Arabidopsis thaliana: one gene and its partners. The protein of the gene in region 2 interacts with the protein of the main gene of each other region in a pairwise test. Each region holds a gene or a part of one and is shown on either strand. Other genes may lie near its edges.

Region 1 (7,067 bases), on a different chromosome or scaffold from region 2:
AGTGTGTGTGTGCGTACTATGTGTATATAGTTGATTTAATTTGCTGTAACAAAAATAGATTAGTCATAGACTAGACCAAACTGATGTTTTAAAGTAAAAGTAGTTTACATAGTGATTGTTTTTTTTGGACAGTGATATTTTGAAGCTAAAGTATGTAGATTAGTAATTAATATTGATCATTATAAACCAATGATACATTCATAAGGATCTTAATATTAAAATAGTGTATAGTGAAAAAATAATTATATTTCACATTTTACATTTTTGATATATTTATGATTGGTGTGCTGTACTAGCTACTCATGACCCTAAGTAATAATGTAGCAGCGAAAGAAAAAAGTATTTTTTGATGTGTTGATTCAGACTTAGGTCAACCTATATGTGTTTTTTTTAAGTTTGAAATAAAATTAATTAGATCATTTTTTTTGGATAAAGGGCTTATATTAGTTAGATAATCTAATGAAAAAACTAGAAGAAAATATGTGGGCTTGCAAATATGTCGTCGTCTTAAAATGCAACACAAACGTATTATCTTCTTCACACATGATCTCTTGTCTTATATACGCATTCATATTATCCCATATCAACCATCTTTACCCTCATCTTTATATTTTGTGTTCAGTATATTCTCACAAGCAATTAAATCCAAAATAGTCAATTTAAAGCATTTCTAAGAAAAATTACACTACTATTATGAGCTTCAAAAATATATTTAAATTTTGAATGATACCAAATACTAGACGTACAATTTTAAAGCTGGTAATCCATTTATGATTGAGCTAAATTGTGATGATATGTATATTGTATAAAGATAAACACATAAATAAAAGTACCCTTAATTGATTATATTATTTCTCCAACCTCGTTACACAATACAGTACTATAAAACTTGTAAATGAACAAGAATTACCCACATTATCGGGTGACTAATGTTCGTTCCATCGGAAAACAAAAACACAACAAACTCAAAACCAAAATCTCCATAAACATATATAGAGCTATTAATTATCATATTAAACTCTCACACACTCTTATTATAAAATGTTTTGACTCCTGATATTAGACCAACTGCAAAAACTAAACTAATCACTCCAAGATTTAACAATCAATCATTATTATGATTACTATAATCTATATATTACTATTAAAATAAACCTTTTTGTAATGAGGATATTGTGATGATCTGATCAACCGTGAACCATTCCATACGACAGAGCCATGAGCAAAACAGCAGCCTCCTTCTCATCTTGTGGGAACACTTGTTGATAAGCTGAGCTTTTGCTCAACATTATTGTCAAATCATCGAAGCAAAATTTGTTTGACGAAATCGAAGAATTAGAAGAAGTTGTAGATTTGCTGATCTCTGAATCTCCGGCAACCGTTTCCGCTTCCATTTCCTTCTCCTCTTCCTCTTTGATCTTGCACTTTTTGGCCTTGGCCACCATTGGAGGAGAGTGATTGTATTTTTCCCCTCCGTTTGATCTCTTTTTTTTATTTTGCAACTTCTTTTTCAGCGGTAATTGTTGCACTCGGGGCGCTACCGCCACCTCTTGGTCGCCGGCTGCAGCGGCCGCGGCCATAGCGGCTCGCCTTGCCTTTCTTTGCCGTATACCACATGCGTTACAAAGAGACTGCAATGATAAATGAAAATTAGTATGCGAACTGTAGATGACAAAAAAAAAATCATAGAATGTTGGACTTATGAGTATCATTGATTAAAGTATTAATGTTTAAAGGATGTATCAGGTTTAAATAAATTAAATATCTACATTCTTGAAATATAACTATTAATTTTAAAAATGTGAACTAAACTAGGTAGATATAGATAGTATGACATATATCAAGACAATTTCGATTGAAGTAAGTGTGATTAATCTACCTTGGGACCTCGAGGTCCACTTCGCCAAAGAGGAGTCTTGGTGGTGTTACAATCCGAACAAACCCTAATCACGCCATTGTTATTACTATAACCGTTCTCGTTGATTGTATTGTAGCGATTCTCGGTGGTCGCGGCCGTGGTCTTCCTGGTCAAGACGTTCTTGAAATTAAGATCTTCATGGTGATCCTCGTCGAAATTAGTCTTATGATTCAAAGGGTAGTGATCACTTTCTTTATGATTATTATTATTAGTCTGATCAATGAGCTGTTTATTGTTGGTGATTGTTTTCTTGATCAACCGCATCTTTGGGGACATCAACCACTTGTCGGAGTCTGAATCGGGTTTTGTCGGGTTTTGATGAAGAGGATGGGGTTGGTCTTCGTGATCTTTTTTCCTTATCGTTAGTTTCAGTCTTGTCTCCTTCTTTGGCACCATGTGATCGCATGCTGATGATCCACCGTTAGCCACAAACATCTTGGCCTGGTATATATATATCACCGATCAAGGTTTATAATCAACAACAGATGGAATTGTACATAATAATATAATGATATGGCTTCTTAAGATCCCTCCTTTTTATTTGATAAATTAAATTTCGTCTATATAGAATTCTCGACATACAAATTCAGAAACTAATATTATTGTATGAATTTTACATGATCAGGCATGATTTTAACTGCTAAACTAAAAAGAACGATCGTACAAGAATAACATTTATACACACACACTTAAGGTTGATATGTAATTGTAAATTTACCTTGAGGGGTTGAGAAAGATGGAGATGATCAGCGTGATAAGTGTTGTTGTAGGCAACATGTTGATCTTCTTGAGAGTTGATCAAGAAAGGGAGGTAAGAGGAGAGCGATGAAATGGACGAAGAAGAAGATGAAGAATTAGAAGGGACTTGATGATGATGATGATGATGATGATGATGAAGCGAGGAAGAGGATCCAAGAGGATAGAAAAAGGGTTGTTCGTGATGGTTTTGATCTTCGTTAAGATCTATCGAGTAATGAAAATTTGAATCCATTGATGAGATAAACAAATGAAGACACAAAGAGAGAGAGAAAGAAAGCTAAGATGAGAGATTGAGAGAGATCATAGACGGCAAAAAGAGTCCAAGCTATACTATGTTTGATCCTTTTTAAAGGCAATGAGATGAGACACGAGCCAAACACACATGGTCTCTATTATATTCATATATAAAATATATCAGTTTAATAAATGGTTTACGTGAGTCTAGAGTTAGGGTACTTATGTCTCTGTATACATCAACTTGTACAGTGAATTTTAGAAGACATGGATAAAATACTGTTTTAAAATCCTACTTTCGGACAAGTCCGGATGTCATACCAATGATTTTAATTTTTTTAATGTCCTTTTTATATGTTTTTTTCTAATTTAGAAAAAAAAGCTCTAAACTTCTAGTTTTCTCAAATGACCATAAAGTATTATGAGATTCGAATCCATAATTTTATTTGCATATGCTATAACGGACATGCGATCCAGTAATCCTTGATGAGCTAGTAAAGAAAGCTTGTTGTTTTTTTCTTGGATTGATTTAAGAAAATGGATACAAATAAATAACTGAAATGATCAGTAATAGTAAATGGTCAATATTTACATTAAGAAAGTTGAAAATATATGTATATGTATATATATAATTAATTAATTTAGAGGTTCACGTGAGTCCATGGCACCCATACAAACCAAACACATGAGACAAACTGTGTGTATGTGGAATGGTACTGGACGGCCCCATTCAAAACAAACCCTATCTGTAATTTCCTTACCCCACTAGAGAGACACAGAAAATTAAAAATAAAACCCTAATTTATATAAATATTGGAGAGTGAGAGCCACACAAATCATGATAATAATTGAAACAAATAAGATCCTTTTACTTGTTGTCTTTTCAAATCTAGGGTTTCCTAGATCTCATCAAGGCTCTATTATAGAAAAAGAAAAAAAAAAAAGTCAAAATTTGGATTTCTCATGTTCTTTTCATATGTATATATACCGTTAAACTAAAAATCTACTGTATTCATGAAGAATCACTAAAAAGGTTAGATTTTCAGCTCTATGAATTTTTACTAGATTTTATTAAATCGTATCAGTCAAAACAAATTTAGAATAAATATTGATTGATAAATTTTAGAAAGTATATTACATTCTCTTATTTTCTCAACCAAAAAAAAACAAACTTCTCTTATTTAAAATGAATATCTAACTAGCGTCTGTAAATATGTCTATTGACAAATAAAAAATTAAAAAAAAAAAATGAGAAACAAAAAAGAGTCAATTAGCATTACGTGAAAAAACGTCAAAAATAAATAAATAAATAGAAATGACAAATAGTTAGTGTTTATCTTTCAGATAAGTCAGTGGATCTTCTTAAAATTCCCCTACGAGTAGTGTTAGTTAGTACCTAAAATTATAGACTTTGTTGTGATAAGCCATCAATCATATAACATGGATTGTTAAAAGTTCAAATAAGTCCAACACTGATTCGTTGGTTTATTTCCTGATAATCAAAGTTTACTCAATTGGCATAACAAATTCAAGATCTCTTGAAAACGTAGTATATATGCTATATGTAACTCGTGATCCTTTCAACTGCATGTGATCCATCAATAATCCTCCCAGAGGATAGAGAACGAAATGATCCATGATTGAGAGATAGGAAGCGAGGCAGAGGGAGAAGAGATCAGAGATCTAGAGAGAGGAGATGAATAGAGAGAAGAGATAGGTTTAGAATGGTAAAGGAAGAAAACATCCCACCTTAGTATTGCCAAACTTATTCAATTCCTTCTCATCAGATTATACAGATCATTGAGGACCCCCACACACAAAGAGACAATCCATCTTTATTTTTCAAAATTTAAAATTGGCCCATCAATTTGTAACAATTCTTAAGCTAACTAAATGATCTAAGGAAAAAATAATAATTGATATTAATTTTCTGCTATATTTAGTAGCTTTTTATATGGGATCAGATTATGATCTATATATAACTCCCAATTTTCTAACACATACTATAGGATTTGGTCAATGCATCTTATGATATCACTATTGTTAGAAACGTTTTTTCAATATCACAGTGTACAAAGTCGAATAAGATGTTATGCACTGAGAGAAATGATTTACGCTTTATAGATTATCTACTCCCTCGATCGAACTGAAAGAGACCATATATATAGACGATAGAAACTTCATAGACAACAAAGATAACAATTGGTTTGTGACCAAAACATATGTGTTTTCCATTAGTTACACCTTGTTTAAACTACAACAATCCAAAACAAGCAAAACATTGTATATTAGTGTGCACAAAAGAGCACAATAATGAAAATTGTATGGATGTGAGGATAAATCTCTTCTTTTTTTGATAAACGAGGATAAATCTCATATGTCTCATGTATATTAAGGGCCAAAAAAATCTACACAGACGGGATAAAATCAAATGAAGAAAAGTGATTGTTGAAATTTGAGTTTCCCTTTACTGTACTATCACATGCCAAAAAAGTCATTTGTTTTCTTTTGAGTAATAATAAAATTAGTAAATAATATTACTATTGGTGTCGGGATAAAAATGAAATATTACTATTGGTTACTTTAACGGTAAGTATCTAGATGGGGAAAAAAAAAACTGTACACAAATGAATTGTACTCTTCATTTTTTACATGACTTTGCAGTTGCATCACTTCTCAATCTTGGGTTTGCTTTTCAGGCTCAAAAAAGTTTTTGCCAACTTTTTCATTTCTTACCAAATCGGGTCAGTCCATTAATCAAAACACGTTATAGGAATTTTAACGCATAAAACAAAAAACAAAAACAAAAAACCAGAAGAAAACATGGAAATTGATGATCACGAATGTATATGCAATCTGTTACCGTTAATGCATTAAAACGTAATGAAAAAACATGGAAATTATTTAACAGTACGTGACGTCAATAATAGTACTGTATTACTTTTGAAAAGGTTTAAATGTCTTTAACAAAAAAAAGAAAGGGTTTCAAAGTAAAGTAGCACTATAAAATTTAATCCCATTCTACGATTATCGTTGTCTTAATTATCATTAGCTCTATTACCATTATCATTAAAGGTTGAAAAAAGAAAAGAAAAGAGAACACTGCAAATCAGAGGTAGTTTGACCACTGTTCTTTCTCGTCGATTATATTATAATATTTGACTAAGCTTTCTTTTGTTCTGTGTTCTTGAAAAGCGAGCTGAGCAGAGCCGTTGGATCATGGAAACGGAGATCGATGAGCGAAGAGATAGATAAATAGAGGGAAGAGAGAGATTGGTAGGCTAGCTCTCTGAGCTCTTAAGGGTTTTGTTCTTTCAGGTTCTCAAAAAAGACAGCATGCGATCTATCAATCTCCTTCAATGTTTTAACACATGTACCTCTTTTGAATTATCATCAAAACCGAGTCTAATTTTAAATATTTTCAGTCTCTCTCATATGTAAAATGCAGTGAGCCATCACATGTGCATAGTCATGCGTCTTCAACTATACGTTATATAAGCCAGAAAAAAAAATTCAATATTACATCTTGTTCTTATATAAAACCAAAGGATCACAAGAATCTTATATTAATTTCCAAAATTTCAAGCCTGAATTTCAAAGTCGTGAACGTTAAGATGTCTCTAACAAAATTACATCAATCCTAAACCTATATTATTATGACCACTAAAATATCATGCATCACTTAAATAGTTTAACTAGAAATGATCTAAATTGTCTTAGATACTTATATTCTTTTGTCAGGAAGTTAGTTGTTTCTTCCATATATGAGAAGGAATATAAGGTAATAATGGATATGATTATTATTTGTGTAAAACAGTCTTCAGTTATTCCATTATTAAATTTTTGGAGTTTGATCGACACAGATCTGTAGAAAGTTCTTCCTTAAAACTAACAAAAATTTGCAGCACAAAGTTAAACATTAACTCCCTTAATTAACCCATGTTTGATTCAAACGATCAGAGACATCATGGTATTCGACTTATTTATGGATCAAGTCATTTGGGGTTTGTTGTAGAGTTGTGGTAGTACCCTTTCTTTCTGAAGGGCTAGCAAGCGGAGTCTCCAAACAATTTTTTAATTAAGGGTGTTCACTAAAAATCGATTTCTTTTGAATTTTTTTGATATATTTTCTTTGTCACCGATTATTTTTTTCGAC
Region 2 (8,236 bases):
ATCTTTTTCATTTATCCTCACTTTGCGCAATGACTCAATCAAAGGAGATATGTTGAGAGAATCCGTTAGATTATAAATTGACAAGCCTCTTTTCTTTTTCTAGGGGTATTAATCATGCTATATTTCTTGTCACATTGATTTGAATATCAGCAGTTTAAGAAAATCGCTTAGCCAAAAGTTATTAAGAAATCGTCTGATTTCTATCATTGTTGTAATCAATTTGATAAGCTAGCTTCAACTTTCATATCTATGTTAGTGTTTCAAAATTACTATCATATGCATTCCGTTCATACTTATTTCATCAATTAGTCCATGCATGCATGTGCTTATTATTTAGATTAATTATATTTATGTCACTGGCAATGCGTATACTATTATTAACCCACAAAAAGGTGAAACTGATTACAATTTTTCGAATCGTATTCGTAAATTACTAATCAACATGTTATGACGATCAAAACAACTGCAGCGTTACCGTAGAAATAAAAATAAATTGAATAACTTAGAAGTGAGAGTAATGTTTGCAACTTGTGCAGTCAAACAGAATATAAATAAGAAGAAAAATTCTCAAATAGGCATCTGATATTTTATCTTTCCTTTTTGATATTTTCTTAGAAATAAACTACATTTTAAATGGTCTTTTCTTTCTAATTAGCAAGAAAAAAACACACTCGAAAGACTCACTCCCTTCCTATAAATAGGCGAGCAAATGTCAAGCTTTTTACATACTCAAAACAAAACAAAACATACATCAAAACGCTAAAGTTTAAACCCCTAGCCATCATCAGATCTTCAGACTTCTGAGGATCATGGACAAAGTGATGAGAATGTCTTCAGAGAAAGGAGTGGTGATCTTCACGAAGAGCTCATGTTGTCTCTGCTACGCCGTTCAAATCCTGTTCCGTGACCTTAGGGTTCAACCAACCATCCACGAGATCGACAACGACCCGGACTGCCGTGAGATCGAGAAGGCTCTTCTCCGGCTCGGCTGTTCCACGGCGGTTCCAGCTGTCTTTGTCGGAGGCAAGCTTGTTGGCTCCACCAATGAAGTCATGTCCCTTCACCTTAGTGGCTCTCTTGTCCCATTGATCAAACCCTATCAGTCCATCCTTTACTAGCAAAATTAAACCAACTCAATATATAATATCTAATTATTAGCTAGTGAGAATAAACACAGTTACAGCTAGAGTGTGAGCTAGCTAGATATTCAGTGAGGACTTCGTCTGAATTAATGTTTATCGTTTGTATGTTCTATTGTTTAGCTTCTCTCGTGTTTCAGTTTAGTTAATCAACTGGTGTATGTTGATGTATGACTCTCTGTTTATGCTAATGAAAATAGTATTGAAACTTTTACATTTTTTCCCACACAATTAGTAACGATCTCTTGTGTATGTTGAGTAATTTAGGGCTTTCCATATAATAAGGCAAGAAACCGTTTATACTTGTCTGTTTTTAACATGGTATCAGAAGGAGGCTACACACAAACCATTTTCTTATTTAGAAATATTCACATACACTGACAGTAGCTAGAATAAAAATGTGAATGGCCAACACATGCATGAACTCGTCTTCTAATTATCAAGATGTAATGTATAAGTTGGCTTCATCATTATTAGTTAGACCTATTGATAGTTAACATTATATCGGGCGATATACAGATTTAGCCTTTGTGATGTTGTGTTTAGAGCGTACTTTTGAATCAAGGATAAATCAGTGCCCATTAGAGTATATATAAATCGAATGTGAAAAATATTAGATCAGAATAGACTTAATTAGTCTCCACCATACAAATTTGGTAAGAAGAAAAACAATGATAAGATACCAGTGGCCTAATGCAACTAAAGCAGTTTGAGGAAGAGGATGGAAGATCTTTCGCGGTCCAAGTATATCATGGCTACACAAAATCACTGCTCTTTTTGCGTTCCTTTATTCTTGAGTATCTTCACGTTTAATTTACTATTATTTTCTAATGAAAAATTGTACACCTTTTTATATATATGAACTCTTTGTTTTTTCGTTAGTTGCTCGTGTAGTAAATTAAACATATATGCTCATAATCAATAAAAACATACAATGTTAGAAGAAAAAAATACAATTTTTTTTACTAACGAATCATATGAATAGTTGTTTTATATACGGTACATTAACGATCCTCTCATCAGCTTTATAGATAACGAAGCATATTATTCTCCTTAGTTCCGCTTTTTATCACTTGAGATTAAACTCTACTCACAGGTTTAAGCACGTAAATTAGTTACTAAATAATGGATTTGACATTTACGCTTTGCATGCTTATATATGTTACCCATAATTATTTCCCTTTAGTTACTTAAAGTTACCAAAATCAACTACTTCAAGATTCTCCAATCAAAAGAAGCGTGTAAAAGCCTCTATAGTTATATAGTAGTATATAGACCTTGAAGATTTCTTTTTGAAGAAAATATGATTATACTGAGTTCAAAAGGTCGAAAAGAAATAATAAAGGTAGAATCCCTTTACATGATGTGTGGAACAACTTTTCTTGACCTCCAACTTCTTGGGATCGTGGGAAATATATAGGAGAATCTAATCGGAAGTTGTACAGAACGTGTAAGAACTAAGAACCATATTCACTTTGTTGTCATTGTTATAAGATTCAAGATTCTTTGACCGGCGCGTGAAAAAAGCATCCACCTATAGGCTCAAGATTCGTGTCCAAGAAAATATCGAGAACCGATGATTACTTGGAAAGTGGACCATTTTTTAAAAAATCAAAAATTAAAAAAGGAACGTAGCTCATGCGAATAGTTTAGTCCACCAAAGTGAAATGGTAGAACATTTGGTTTCAGTTTAGTTGTGTGTATTTTTATTAAAGGCTTCAGAATCAATTTCGATTTTTGAAAAATGAGTTTTTATAGCCATGTTAGTATGTTACGAGGATGGAAAAGCAACCTAGCTAGATTATCTTGTGATATGTGTTATTGTTCAAGAGAAGTAGGGGCAGTAGTTGTCGAGATCATGTTATTAGTGTCGCTGGAATGTTAGATATTGCCCATCCTGTCTCTTTTTCCCCATCGTGCCCTAAAAGTCAAACTATGCATGGTATTAGCTAATCTTGAATAGGTTTAATTCAGTACGGAAACTCTAATTGAAAACTACCTTCATGGAGTAATAGTTATCGAGGAACGATGATGAGGTATTAGTGGAGATAAGCAGATTTGGACTCAATATCAAAAATTAATGGTGGGATCCATTTCCGTTTCACCTAATATACATAGTGGCAAACAAAAAACAAATATAAGAAGAAAAGATTCAGTATCGAGCATTCTAGCTATGTCGGTAACGTGACAAAGTCCTTTTTTTCGTTTGTCTGTTTCTTTAAAGTTAATCAAATCGGCCAACGCTGCCTCAACAACGAGCTTCCTTTTTCTAACGTCCCTAATTTGCCACGTCCATTTTCTGGACTAGTCCCGGTTTAAAAAATCTTCAGAGATGTATTCGTGGTCAACTTCATTAACTCTTTCTCTTGAGCCCTTCATTAGTTATGATCTTATTTACTTTTTAAAAATCTAACCAAGTACTGTATATTATATATGTGGTAGCCAAAATATTATGTTAAATTCTAGGCTAATCCGATATATCAAGAAAAATCAATATATAAAAATGGAGAGCTATTTTTCACGAGTTAAGTGAGAGAGATGAGTAAAGAAAGGCACGGGAAGGTGAAGAGAGTGTAGGTTTCCAGCTTCTTCCCCAAGAAATAAAATGTATTTGACTTTGTCTAAGCAAATATGTCGTCACTTTAACGTCATTCATTACCTAGAATGCAATTAAGATATGGCTTTTACATAAGCCACCAAATTTGGTTTTGTTGCCCCAAAATATCCCAAGAAAAGATCAACTTCTTCTTCTTACCAAAACTGTCGGCGTCGTCTCCTCTAAGCTCCTCCCATGGAAGCAGAAGAAGGTCATCAGCGTGACCGCCTCTGCGACTATTGCGACTCCTCCGTGGCTCTTGTCTACTGCAAAGCTGACTCCGCCAAGCTCTGCCTCGCCTGCGACAAGCAAGTCCACGTCGCCAACCAACTCTTCGCCAAACACTTCAGGTCACTTCTCTGCGACTCCTGCAACGAATCTCCCTCTTCCCTTTTCTGCGAGACTGAAAGGTCTGTTCTTTGCCAGAACTGCGACTGGCAACACCACACCGCCTCTTCCTCCCTTCATAGCCGCAGACCCTTTGAAGGATTTACCGGCTGTCCCTCCGTGCCTGAGTTGCTGGCCATCGTTGGCCTCGATGACCTCACTCTCGATTCCGGATTGCTTTGGGAGTCACCTGAGATCGTTAGCCTCAACGACCTTATTGTTTCGGGCGGGTCGGGTACTCATAACTTCCGGGCCACGGATGTTCCTCCTCTGCCTAAGGTATAACTTGCTCTGTTTTTTTTCTCGAGCCAATTGCTCGGTTTTTATATTTCTCTGAAATGTTTTGAAATGCTCCAGAATCGTCACGCCACCTGCGGGAAATACAAAGATGAGATGATCCGACAGCTCCGTGGACTATCCAGATCTGAGCCTGGTTGTCTGAAATTTGAAACCCCAGATGCTGAGATCGATGCCGGGTTCCAATTCCTAGCGCCGGATTTGTTTTCTACATGCGAGCTGGTAATAGAGACTGCTATTGGTTGTGTTTTCTTGTGCTTGTCAAATGATTTTCCAGCTTATAAATCTCTCTTGTCAATATGAAGGAGAGTGGACTGAAATGGTTCGATCAGCAAGATCATGAGGACTTTCCATATTGCTCTCTGCTAAAGAACTTGTCGGAGTCAGATGAGAAACCTGAGAATGTAGACCGAGAGTCATCGGTGATGGTTCCCGTTTCCGGCTGCTTAAACCGATGTGAGGAAGAGACTGTGATGGTTCCGGTTATCACTAGTACAAGGTCGATGACACATGAGATCAACAGTCTTGAGAGGAACTCTGCTCTCTCTCGCTACAAAGAAAAGAAGAAGTCTCGAAGGTAAACAAGCTAATTTAAAAAGTGAGACACCACCAATAGGATTGGGATTTGAATCATGTGTTGATGAAACAGGTACGAGAAACACATCAGGTATGAATCACGCAAGGTTCGTGCAGAAAGCAGGACAAGAATCAGGGGACGTTTCGCCAAGGCAGCAGATCCATGAATGATGATGAGGTTACTTTGATAATCAAAAATCTTTTGTATTAATCGAATCATATAGTGTGTATGATCAGATAAGTTTTTGTATTCTAAGCTTAGGAGTTATCACTGTATATCGACCACACTCTCAAAATTGTCACTTAAGAATAGTTTTTTTTTTGTTTTGCCTCCGATTCCTAATTTGCCAAAGGGCAAGCATGGACGAGCACAGAACAAAACATGGTTCACAGTTATATACAATCTCAAGACAAGCAAGCAGCAAAAGAACTTGTTGTAATGTTAGAAAGTGAGATTGGACCCATTAAAGATCCATGGAGCAAGAAGGGCTTGATGTAATTGATATTATGGGCTCAAGTTGTAACATAGTAAACCCAATATAGGTTGGCATGTTTGGGCCATTTTCTTTTAAAGCCCAAATATAAAAGCGTCTCTTCCCGATGGCCGGCGAAACAGAAATTCCGCTGCCGTCGCAGCTTTCACTCTTGTTTTTTTATTCAGATGAAATTGGATGGCCGATGAAGACAAACATCCAAAGGCATGGGCTCGCGGCAACAACTATTTGCAATCTACCAATATATAATAATCTGAGGCAGTATAAAAATACAAAAAAAAATGACAACACTTTTTGGCAGATCATTCCTGCTACGATGAATCTGTCCCAATGATAATCTGAGAAGTAAAGTAAGTTTTGGTTGAACAAGGAATCTGGAGTGGGTTTTACTTGTTGAGCAATCAGTAAGCACTAAATCATGTATCAGAGTTGTGGTTATATTCTCTATGTTCTTCTTAGAATTCAAATATGAATCTGACTTGGAGTTCTTTATTTTAATGATGGTTAATTTTACTGTTAATATTTTTGGATTTGAACATTTGGTGAAGAGTGGTTGCAGCTTGAAGCAATTTTGCATCTCTCACTCTTCGTTTACTGTTTGTTGACGTTGAAGATTAGGCCCCAACAAACTTGTATATAAGAGCCCTTCTCTGTTTATTCTCCTGTCTTAAGAGCGCTAAATCCCTTGGAGACATCTTCACCACACTGTTCAGAGATCTGTCATGGGCCCCGGAGGACCAGGAGGACCCGGAGGACCAGGGTTCTTGCCACCGGGAGGACCAGGCTTCTTCCCACCCATTGGTGGTTTCTTTTCTGGGTTCTCCGACATGATATGTTCCTGGTAAAGACATTCTCTGTTTTGCTATGTGTTTTGTAAAGAGTTAAGTGGTTAGTCTGACTGTGGAATCTTGCAGTCTATCTTGTCTGTGCTGCTGCTGGCTGCTACGAGATTGCTTTGGCGGCCCACCGCCACAAGGACCGCCACTTCTGCCACCCTATTATTGACCACATCTGACTCCATTGGTCACTCGAATAATATTAAAGCTATCTCTGTATAGGATATTGCAGATGTTTGTCAAATTCAATCTTAAATATAATAATTCAAATGTCTCAATTTCTGCTCTGTGTGGATATATATTACCCAAAAAACGATCAAATTAATTATCAGAGAAATGAAATCATAGTCTGGAACTACAATCACTAGCAACACAATGCAACAACAACAACAACAAACACAATCTACTGTCTTCGATTCTTGACTCTTCTCTTGTATGGACTTGCCAAGACTTTTGAAACTATGTACACACACTTCTAAGACGAGGCCAAACCAGTCTTCTCTTTCAACATGATACAACTAAATAAACACGGAGTCACAGGGTTTGATGGAATTAATCATTCACATGCTATCTTGGTGTCGAAACTGCTGAGGCAAATGGTGAAGGCCTGGAAGGCAGAGATAGGGTACTGATAATCCATTGTGAACACATCTTTTCCGACTTTTCCAAACTGGAGAATCACGTTTTCGTGCTCAGGTCCTGCAGGTCCATTCTCAGGAGCAGCTACCAGCTGAAAGTTTTTGACGGAAGCAACTGTGACTCTCCCATTGAAGTTGAGGCACCAGCACTGGAGCTGTTCGTGCCATCTGGGCGCTTTGTTTTTCAGGACAAGCAGTCCTTCCTTCTGAGCAGCAGATGATGGACCAGAAGGGAGACTCTCTGCACGAATTGATTTCGACCTGAAGAAGGAGAATGAGGGGAAACTATCAAGATTGCTATGGACAAGTTCCGTCTGAGTTGGAGCTGTTCCTCCAGGTTCTACAGCTGATGCAGGGATGGCATCCATGACACACTGCATCCTCCTCGGTCCTCTGGTATGATACGACAATGTTCACAATTAGCAAAAGCCATATTAAGCAACTACCGTTTTATCTCACAATGTATCTGTAAGCAAGGAGATAAATCACCTGGAACCCAAGACGTTAAGCTCATATGAGATATGTGCTACAGGATAGTTGCCAGATGGAATTCTCGGGCTCACTTGTTTCAAACTGAGAAGTCTGCTTGAACGGGTTCTGGTAACCTGAGTTCCAGGATTCGTCGGCTGAGCGTCATAGACAGTGAACTTGGTCCCCAGAAAGTTAGATCTGAAAGAAAGTTAAGATAAGAGAAAGGTTATGGCAAATATATGAAAAAACCATGGGGTCAATCTGTAGCTAAGTACCTAAGCTTTCCGATATAGGTATTGCTTCCTCGAGAGACATCATCGCAGTTTAAGGAGATGATGTAGTCAGTGCAAGTTGGCCTCCGAAACCTCTTGGCAGCAAGAAGGAACTTTCCATCATCATTTGAAGCTGCTGCTGGACCAGAAAAAGTAAACCTTTGAGTGTTATTCAGAAAGAGATTAGGTATGCAAAGAGAAAAGAAGAAGCATCTGTTAGTTTCACCTTGGTTTAACCCGAGGTATAGATAGTAGGTTTGATTGCTGCGGTTTCTCATAATATAGCATTGAACAAGTGATCCTCTAGGACCCGGCTAAAAGGAAGTAGGGAAAAACGATTAGCCTGGATAAGCACACAAGTCATTTATAAAGTAAAGAGAGAATGTGATGGGATACTCAACCTGTTTGAGGGAGATAGGAAAAGTGAGTTTGCTAGAAAGCTCAGGAACTCTGACGATCTCTTTGACGATTTCTCGCCAGTTCCTGCAGACACCAGCGCAAGAAACAACATTTTTCCTAGACGGCCAAGT
Region 3 (6,037 bases), on a different chromosome or scaffold from region 2:
TAGGAAAGCTACAGACGAACTGGGAGTTAGAATGGCTGCAGACGAGCTGTTAGCTATGCGAAGTGCAGACGAACTGCTAGCTAGGAAAGTTACAGACGAACTGGTAGCTAAAAAGGCCGCAGACGAGCTGTTAGCTAGGCGAAGTGCAGACGACCTGCTAGCTATACGAACTGCGGGCTAGGAAAGCTCCAGACGAACTGGGAGCTACGAAGGCTTTAGGTCGGTTGACTTATGTCGACCACTCTTATCTTTCAGACTTTTATATTTGAATAAAATGTTTTTGTCCTTAAGAACAAGTTCATGTTTTTTTTTTTTTTTTTTTTTTGTGAACCTCCGTCGGTTGATTACGTATTAACAATATCGGATTCCCAATCTTGAAATTAGGTTTTAAATCGACTAAATTATAAGCCATATGCAAGCTTTGAGCTCGGCTTTCGGGCGGACTGGTTTTCACCTGACGTCACAGCCGATTTTTTCTGTCTAAGTTCGGGTTAGATGTTAAGTGCGAGACTGAGCTCGGCTTTATAAATAAAAGTATTCGGCGTGTACTGGGCGCGAGACGTCTCTCGGCTTATGCCCAGTAGGCCTATGTATAATTTAAAGAGGAGATAAGTTGAGAACTAGGCAGTTTTTAGGGAAATAATTTGAGAACTAGGCAGCTTTTAGTGTATAGTTTTGAATTGCAATACATTTCAATAATGGTTTTTTTCCTTGGGGTTTAGTAATCTATCTTGGATTTTAGGGTATAGTTTTTAATTCCATTGCATTTCCTAAATGTTTTTAGTATTCTATCTTGGCTAGTGTACTAGTCTAGTGTACCGAAGTGGTGTACTGTTCTCGTGTTCTCACTTTGTCTCACGAAGCTCGTCAGCTCGTCCGTCTCAAGTAGCTAATCAGCTCGCCCTTCTCAAGAAGCTCATCAGCTCTCCCTTCTTAAGAAACTCGTTAGCTCGCTCCTCTTCGTCAAGCTTCTCAACTCGTTCTCTTCACCAAGTCCCTCAGCTCGTCTTCAAGCTATCCAGCTCGTCTTTAATCTCTCCAACTCGCCTTTAAGCTCTTCAAGCTCCTCAGCTCGTCCTCAAGCTCCTCAGCTCGTCTTCAAGCTCTTCCCATCACAGCGACCATCTCCTCGTCTAGCTATCAGCTCATCCCTCGACTGCGAAACTCATCTACCTCCTCGCCTAGCGGAAGTTCGTCCATTGACTGCATAGTCCACCTATCTCGTCGTCCAGCTCGTCTAGACCTTCAGCAAACAACTCGGTTTGTCCAACTCGTCTCTCTACCACGGTTCATCCAGCTCATCGCACATCTGCCGGCTCGTCACCTACCTGCCGACCTACCTCCAACGATGGCCTAGCTCACTTATTCTAATATGAACTACGTGTGGCTTGATCCCTTTCTAAGGGTACGTAGGCAACCTTTTACAAGGTTCAGCTATAAAACGAATAAACTCTATTCTTCCTCGGACATCAAGATCGTCTTCCGGCCTCAAGCTCGTCTTTCATCTACAATCGGCTCGTTCTTACTCCATTTATGCTCGTTGAAGAAATCATCCTTTGTAATCCGTCCAATTCGCCTAAGTCGCGGGCTCGTCATTAATAGAAAGATTCTTCTTCCTTCCCTAGAGATCCCATTTTCGTACTTGTGTGATTCGTGCATCAACAGTTGGCGCGCCAGGTAGGGGGATAGCTCGAAGATATCTCTCAAAACTACGAACCCGCGACGAACCAAAGTGACAACAAACGGACTACATGGAGCATTCGATACCGACTCGTCAGGCTCTGGAAGCAAAACGACAACGTCGATCCCCGGGAGAGCCAGTCACTCGACCTCTTCATCCGATATCGCATCATGTTCTCCGACCTCTTCATTTCCTTGGGGTTTAGTAATCTATCTTGGATTTTAGGGTATAGTTTTTAATTCCATTGCATTTCCTAAATGTTTTTAGTATTCTATCTTGGCTAGTGTACTAGTCTAGTGTACCGAAGTGGTGTACTGTTCTAGTGTTCTCACTTTGTGTACTATCATAGTGTACGCATTTGGTGTACTAGTCTTGTGTACTAATGGTGTACTGTTCTAGTGTTCTCACTTGGTGTACTATAATAGTGTACCCATTTGGTGTACTATTCTAGTCTACTTCTAGAATGTCAAAGTATCAATCCAAATTATAATACAATATATTTCAATTCAAGTGTTATGAAGCATAATAATAATCTAGGGTTATGACTTTGAATTAGGAATTTATTTATTTACTTGGAATTCTAAATTCTAGTAATCTAAGGCTTTAGGGTATAGTTTTAAACTTCATTCCATATGATATATGGTTTTCCTTGGGTTTAGTCTTCTCTCTTTGTCTTTTAGTGTATAGTTTTGAATTTCACTACATTTCAATAATGTCTTTTAGTGTATAGTTTTAGGGTATAGTTTTTAATTCCATTGCATTTCCTAAATATTTTTAGTATAATAGTAGACTAGTCTAGTGCACCAAAGTGGTGTACTGTTTTTAATTCACTTGGTTACTAATTGGTGTACCCATTTGGTGTACTATTCTAGTATACTATTATATTCTATCTTGGCTAGTGTACTAGTCTAGTGTACTAGTCTAGTGTACTAGTGGTGTACTATTCTAGTGTTCTCACTTGGTGTACTATTATAGTGTACCCATTTGGTGTACTGGGTTTCTCTCAAACGTCTCTCTTCTCGAACTCGTTCACCCTCGATTTGTTGTACACCGACTGTGGCTAGGGTTCGTGAAAAACCAAGAAGAGTAAAGTAACTCAATCTCAGAATAAACACGGGCTCAGAAGTTATTTGGATAAAAAACGTAATGAAACTATCGGGCTCAAATATTTGGGCTCACTTAATACGAATTGGAGTTAACGGGCCTAAAATGAGTTTTAAAACCCAATCCAATTTGTTTCGTCGAACCCAGCCGGAATGTGTGTTTTTAAAACACAAGGCTACTATTGTATTTGACACCTCTTTTGGATTTTTGCTACCTTTTTCTATCTCACATGAATCCTATTAGACAAACCCAATAAAAAGTACCCTCTCAGCATATTTCCAAAAAAACTGTCTAGTTCTCAAATAATTTTCTAAAAACTGCCTACTTTTACAATAAACCCTTGTAAAAACTATGATACTGCAGTTAAATCCTATGGAATGATTAGACATATGATCATGAAAGCGACATATGTGATTGAGTTGTCCACCAAGAAAGAATAACAGTAACTGGCTCAATATGATTTTCTTTTGATTTAAATATTGTTTTAAAAAGTATATCTTCATTACGAAAATTATGTTTTGGTTTTGGTGTCTTAATTTTTAGTTTGGTTTTTCATATAGAGAGGGACATATCTACCAATTCTAACTTGTTGATAGCCGTAACCAAGATTCAAGAATAGTTACCTGCCACCACATCTTCGCGGCGTGTATCTCAAGCGTCATGATCGTTGACGCCGTCTCCACCAGATGTTTGTCGCCGTAAGCTAACCCTAATAAAGCGGCGGAGTAATAAGCGTTTACGGCCTCGCTTGTGCTCTCTTGATTCCGGCCGTCCCAGAACTCCGTTAACCCTCCAGCCCATGAGTGTAGCTTGAAAAGATCAAAATTTCTCAAACGCGGATAACTAGAATTTGAATTATTATCATCTTTTCTCCCAAACGTCATGAAATCCGCCAATAGACTGTACGCTTGAGCTCTGTATCTCTCTCCCCACAAAGGATCAAACTTAGCGAGCACGGCAATAGCGTAGAGAAAGTAACCAATATGGTAATGATGATTATTATATATACCGAACCCGAAATCAGCTTGTTTCCACTTCAGGATCGAAGTGAGGAACTAAGCAGCAATGTAGAAAATGGAAGTTGCAATTCCAATGAAGGAATTAATCCTGAAACCAGCAGTCATTGGATTGAAAACGTTGTCAAGGTACTATATGTTTTGTCACAACTTTGGAGAAGAGACAAATTTCAGATTTTGCCAGTGGATCTTACCTCTCCTCTGTGTATTGTTCTTCAAGGTTAGGAAACCGTACACAGTAACTAAGCAGAGAGAGAAGTGGAGTGAGGAAGAGCATGATAGGTTTCTTGAAGCTATCAAGCTTTATGGTCGTGGGTGGCGTCAAATCCAAGGTATTATTTGACTTGGAGCTTAAATTGAGCTTAGAATCTAGCTGCTATTAGATGTAGTTCTGAAGAACCTAAGTCTTGATTTTGCTGCAGAACACATAGGTACAAAAACCGCTGTACAGATACGAAGCCATGCTCAAAAGTTCTTCTCCAAGGTCTTGTTTGTTCATATGTTCCATAACATCAGTAGTACTGATTTGGTTAGTTTGTAACCTGACAGTTTTTTATCCATTGCAGATGGCTCAGGAAGCTGACAGTAGAAGTGAAGGATCGGTTAAAGCGATTGTGATCCCGCCTCCTCGTCCAAAGAGAAAACCGGCACATCCTTATCCTCGGAAATCGCCTGTTCCATATACTCAGTCTCCTCCACCAAATTTGTCAGCTATGGAGAAAGGAACCAAGTCTCCAACCTCAGTGTTATCATCGTTTGGTTCAGAGGATCAAGTCAATAGATGCTCTTCGCCTAATTCGTGTACCAGTGACATCCAATCCATTGGTGCAACTTCCATTGATTAAAAGAATAACTACACAACATCCAAGCAACCTTTCAAAGATGATTCTGACATTGGTTCAACACCCATTTCAAGCATTACTCTTTTCGGGAAGATTGTCCTTGTCGCGGAAGAATCTCACAAACCATCCTCTTACAATGATGATGATCTTAAACAAATGACGTGTCAGGAGAATCACTACTCAGGGATGCTAGTTGACACTAATTTATCTCTTGGTGTATGGGAAACGTTTTGTACTGGTTCTAATGCATTTGGCTCGGTTACAGAAGCATCTGAGAACTTGGAGAAGAGTGCAGAGCCGATAAGTTCTTCATGGAAACGGTTAAGCTCCTTAGAAAAACAAGGATCTTGTAATCCTGTAAATGCAAGTGGGTTCAGGCCATACAAGAGATGCCTATCAGAAAGAGAAGTAACATCATCATTGACGCTGGTAGCTTCAGATGAAAAGAAAAGCCAAAGAGCACGTATATGCTAGTTTTAGCCATTGTACAGTTTGGAGTCAATTTTGATGATCCGTGAACATTGTTTTAGCCATTTGCTGGGTGACTTGGATCATAGCATTCCACGAACCAAATCCTAAATCCGAGTTGGTAAGTGGTTTTACTTGTCCGCCACATGTAATCCTTGTAATGAAGTTTCTCCTGCTGTCTCACGTTAAGAAGACACTTCTTTTTTTCTTCATATACAAATCAGTTTTAACAGTGTATTTGTTTGGCCAACTATTCCTAGCTCTGTTTCAATCTTAGGTCTGGTTTATGATTATTAGCCTTAAGACCAGTCTTAATGTTAAAAGGTTTTTACATTAAGCAGATTAATATACGAGTGAAACTTCAAACTCTGAGAATTGAAACATTGTGCAAAGGGAACCCCCTAAATTTCTGTGGACACTTGCTTAAAAATTGGAGCCCTCAAGTCTAATTCACTTACTTAAATATTGGAGCCCTCAAAGTCTAATGAAATCTATGATAAATAACAACAATTGAAGTATATGCAATCAACACAAGCCTTGCTTATTCTATATTGAAAAGTGTAATTCTAGCTTCTATCTCCCTGGGTTCAGGTGATGAACTGTATCACTATCACAGAAAAGAAGCAGCAAAAAAATCTCAGCAATGGCGTCTGTTAGATATCTCACTGGTTTATGTATGCCTATCAAAGAACTTCTCTATGAGTACAGAGAAAGTTGCAAATCCAGCGCAACCTATACACGCAGCTTTTGGCCCACCTGAAACAAGACCAATCCATTAAGTCCTCAAGAACACAATGTATCATGTAAGAGAAATCAAACCTCTACGAGATTACAGTTTGGGAATTAGGCCGTTGCATATTGATAATGAATCTCTAAGATTTAAATTCCATGCACAGAAGATAATAGGTCTTACCTCGGGCGGACAT

Evidence for each region. The genes of interacting proteins can lie anywhere in the genome.
Region 1: the proteins of AT2G47890 (region 2) and GNC interact in a two-hybrid assay, tested with the Arabidopsis thaliana proteins (one large-scale study listed by BioGRID).
Region 3: the proteins of AT2G47890 (region 2) and AT3G10113 interact in a two-hybrid assay, tested with the Arabidopsis thaliana proteins (one large-scale study listed by BioGRID).

The regions. Positions count from the first base shown.
Region 1 is NC_003076.8:22,988,443-22,995,509, forward strand, and holds GNC (GATA type zinc finger transcription factor family protein), read right to left. Parts: upstream 3,089-7,067; 5' UTR 2,910-3,088; coding exon 2,637-2,909; intron 2,360-2,636; coding exon 1,880-2,359; intron 1,632-1,879; coding exon 1,188-1,631; 3' UTR 774-1,187; downstream 1-773. UniProt on the Arabidopsis thaliana protein: Transcriptional regulator that specifically binds 5'-GATA-3' or 5'-GAT-3' motifs within gene promoters. Involved in the modulation of chloroplast development, growth and division in a cytokinin-dependent manner.
Region 2 is NC_003071.7:19,604,315-19,612,550, forward strand, and holds AT2G47890 (B-box type zinc finger protein with CCT domain-containing protein), read left to right. Parts: upstream 1-3,681; 5' UTR 3,682-3,930; coding exon 3,931-4,401; intron 4,402-4,479; coding exon 4,480-4,641; coding exon of another isoform or gene 4,642-4,722; exon of another isoform or gene 4,723-4,724; coding exon 4,725-4,996; coding exon of another isoform or gene 4,997-5,000; exon of another isoform or gene 5,001-5,068; coding exon 5,069-5,162; 3' UTR 5,163-5,973; downstream 5,974-8,236. Other genes in the region: AT2G47880 (Glutaredoxin family protein), read left to right, coding at 810-1,118; AT2G47885 (uncharacterized protein), read right to left, coding at 917-1,054; TLP3 (tubby like protein 3), read right to left, coding at 6,882-7,356, 7,453-7,632, 7,710-7,845, 7,933-8,020, 8,108-8,236.
Region 3 is NC_003074.8:3,117,123-3,123,159, reverse strand, and holds AT3G10113 (Homeodomain-like superfamily protein), read left to right. Parts: upstream 1-3,768; coding exon 3,769-3,930; intron 3,931-4,021; coding exon 4,022-4,133; intron 4,134-4,223; coding exon 4,224-4,285; intron 4,286-4,367; coding exon 4,368-4,574; intron 4,575-4,649; coding exon 4,650-5,117; 3' UTR 5,118-5,264; downstream 5,265-6,037. Other genes in the region: MEE67 (Mitochondrial import inner membrane translocase subunit Tim17/Tim22/Tim23 family protein), read right to left, coding at 5,782-5,867, 6,025-6,037. UniProt on the Arabidopsis thaliana protein: Probable transcription factor.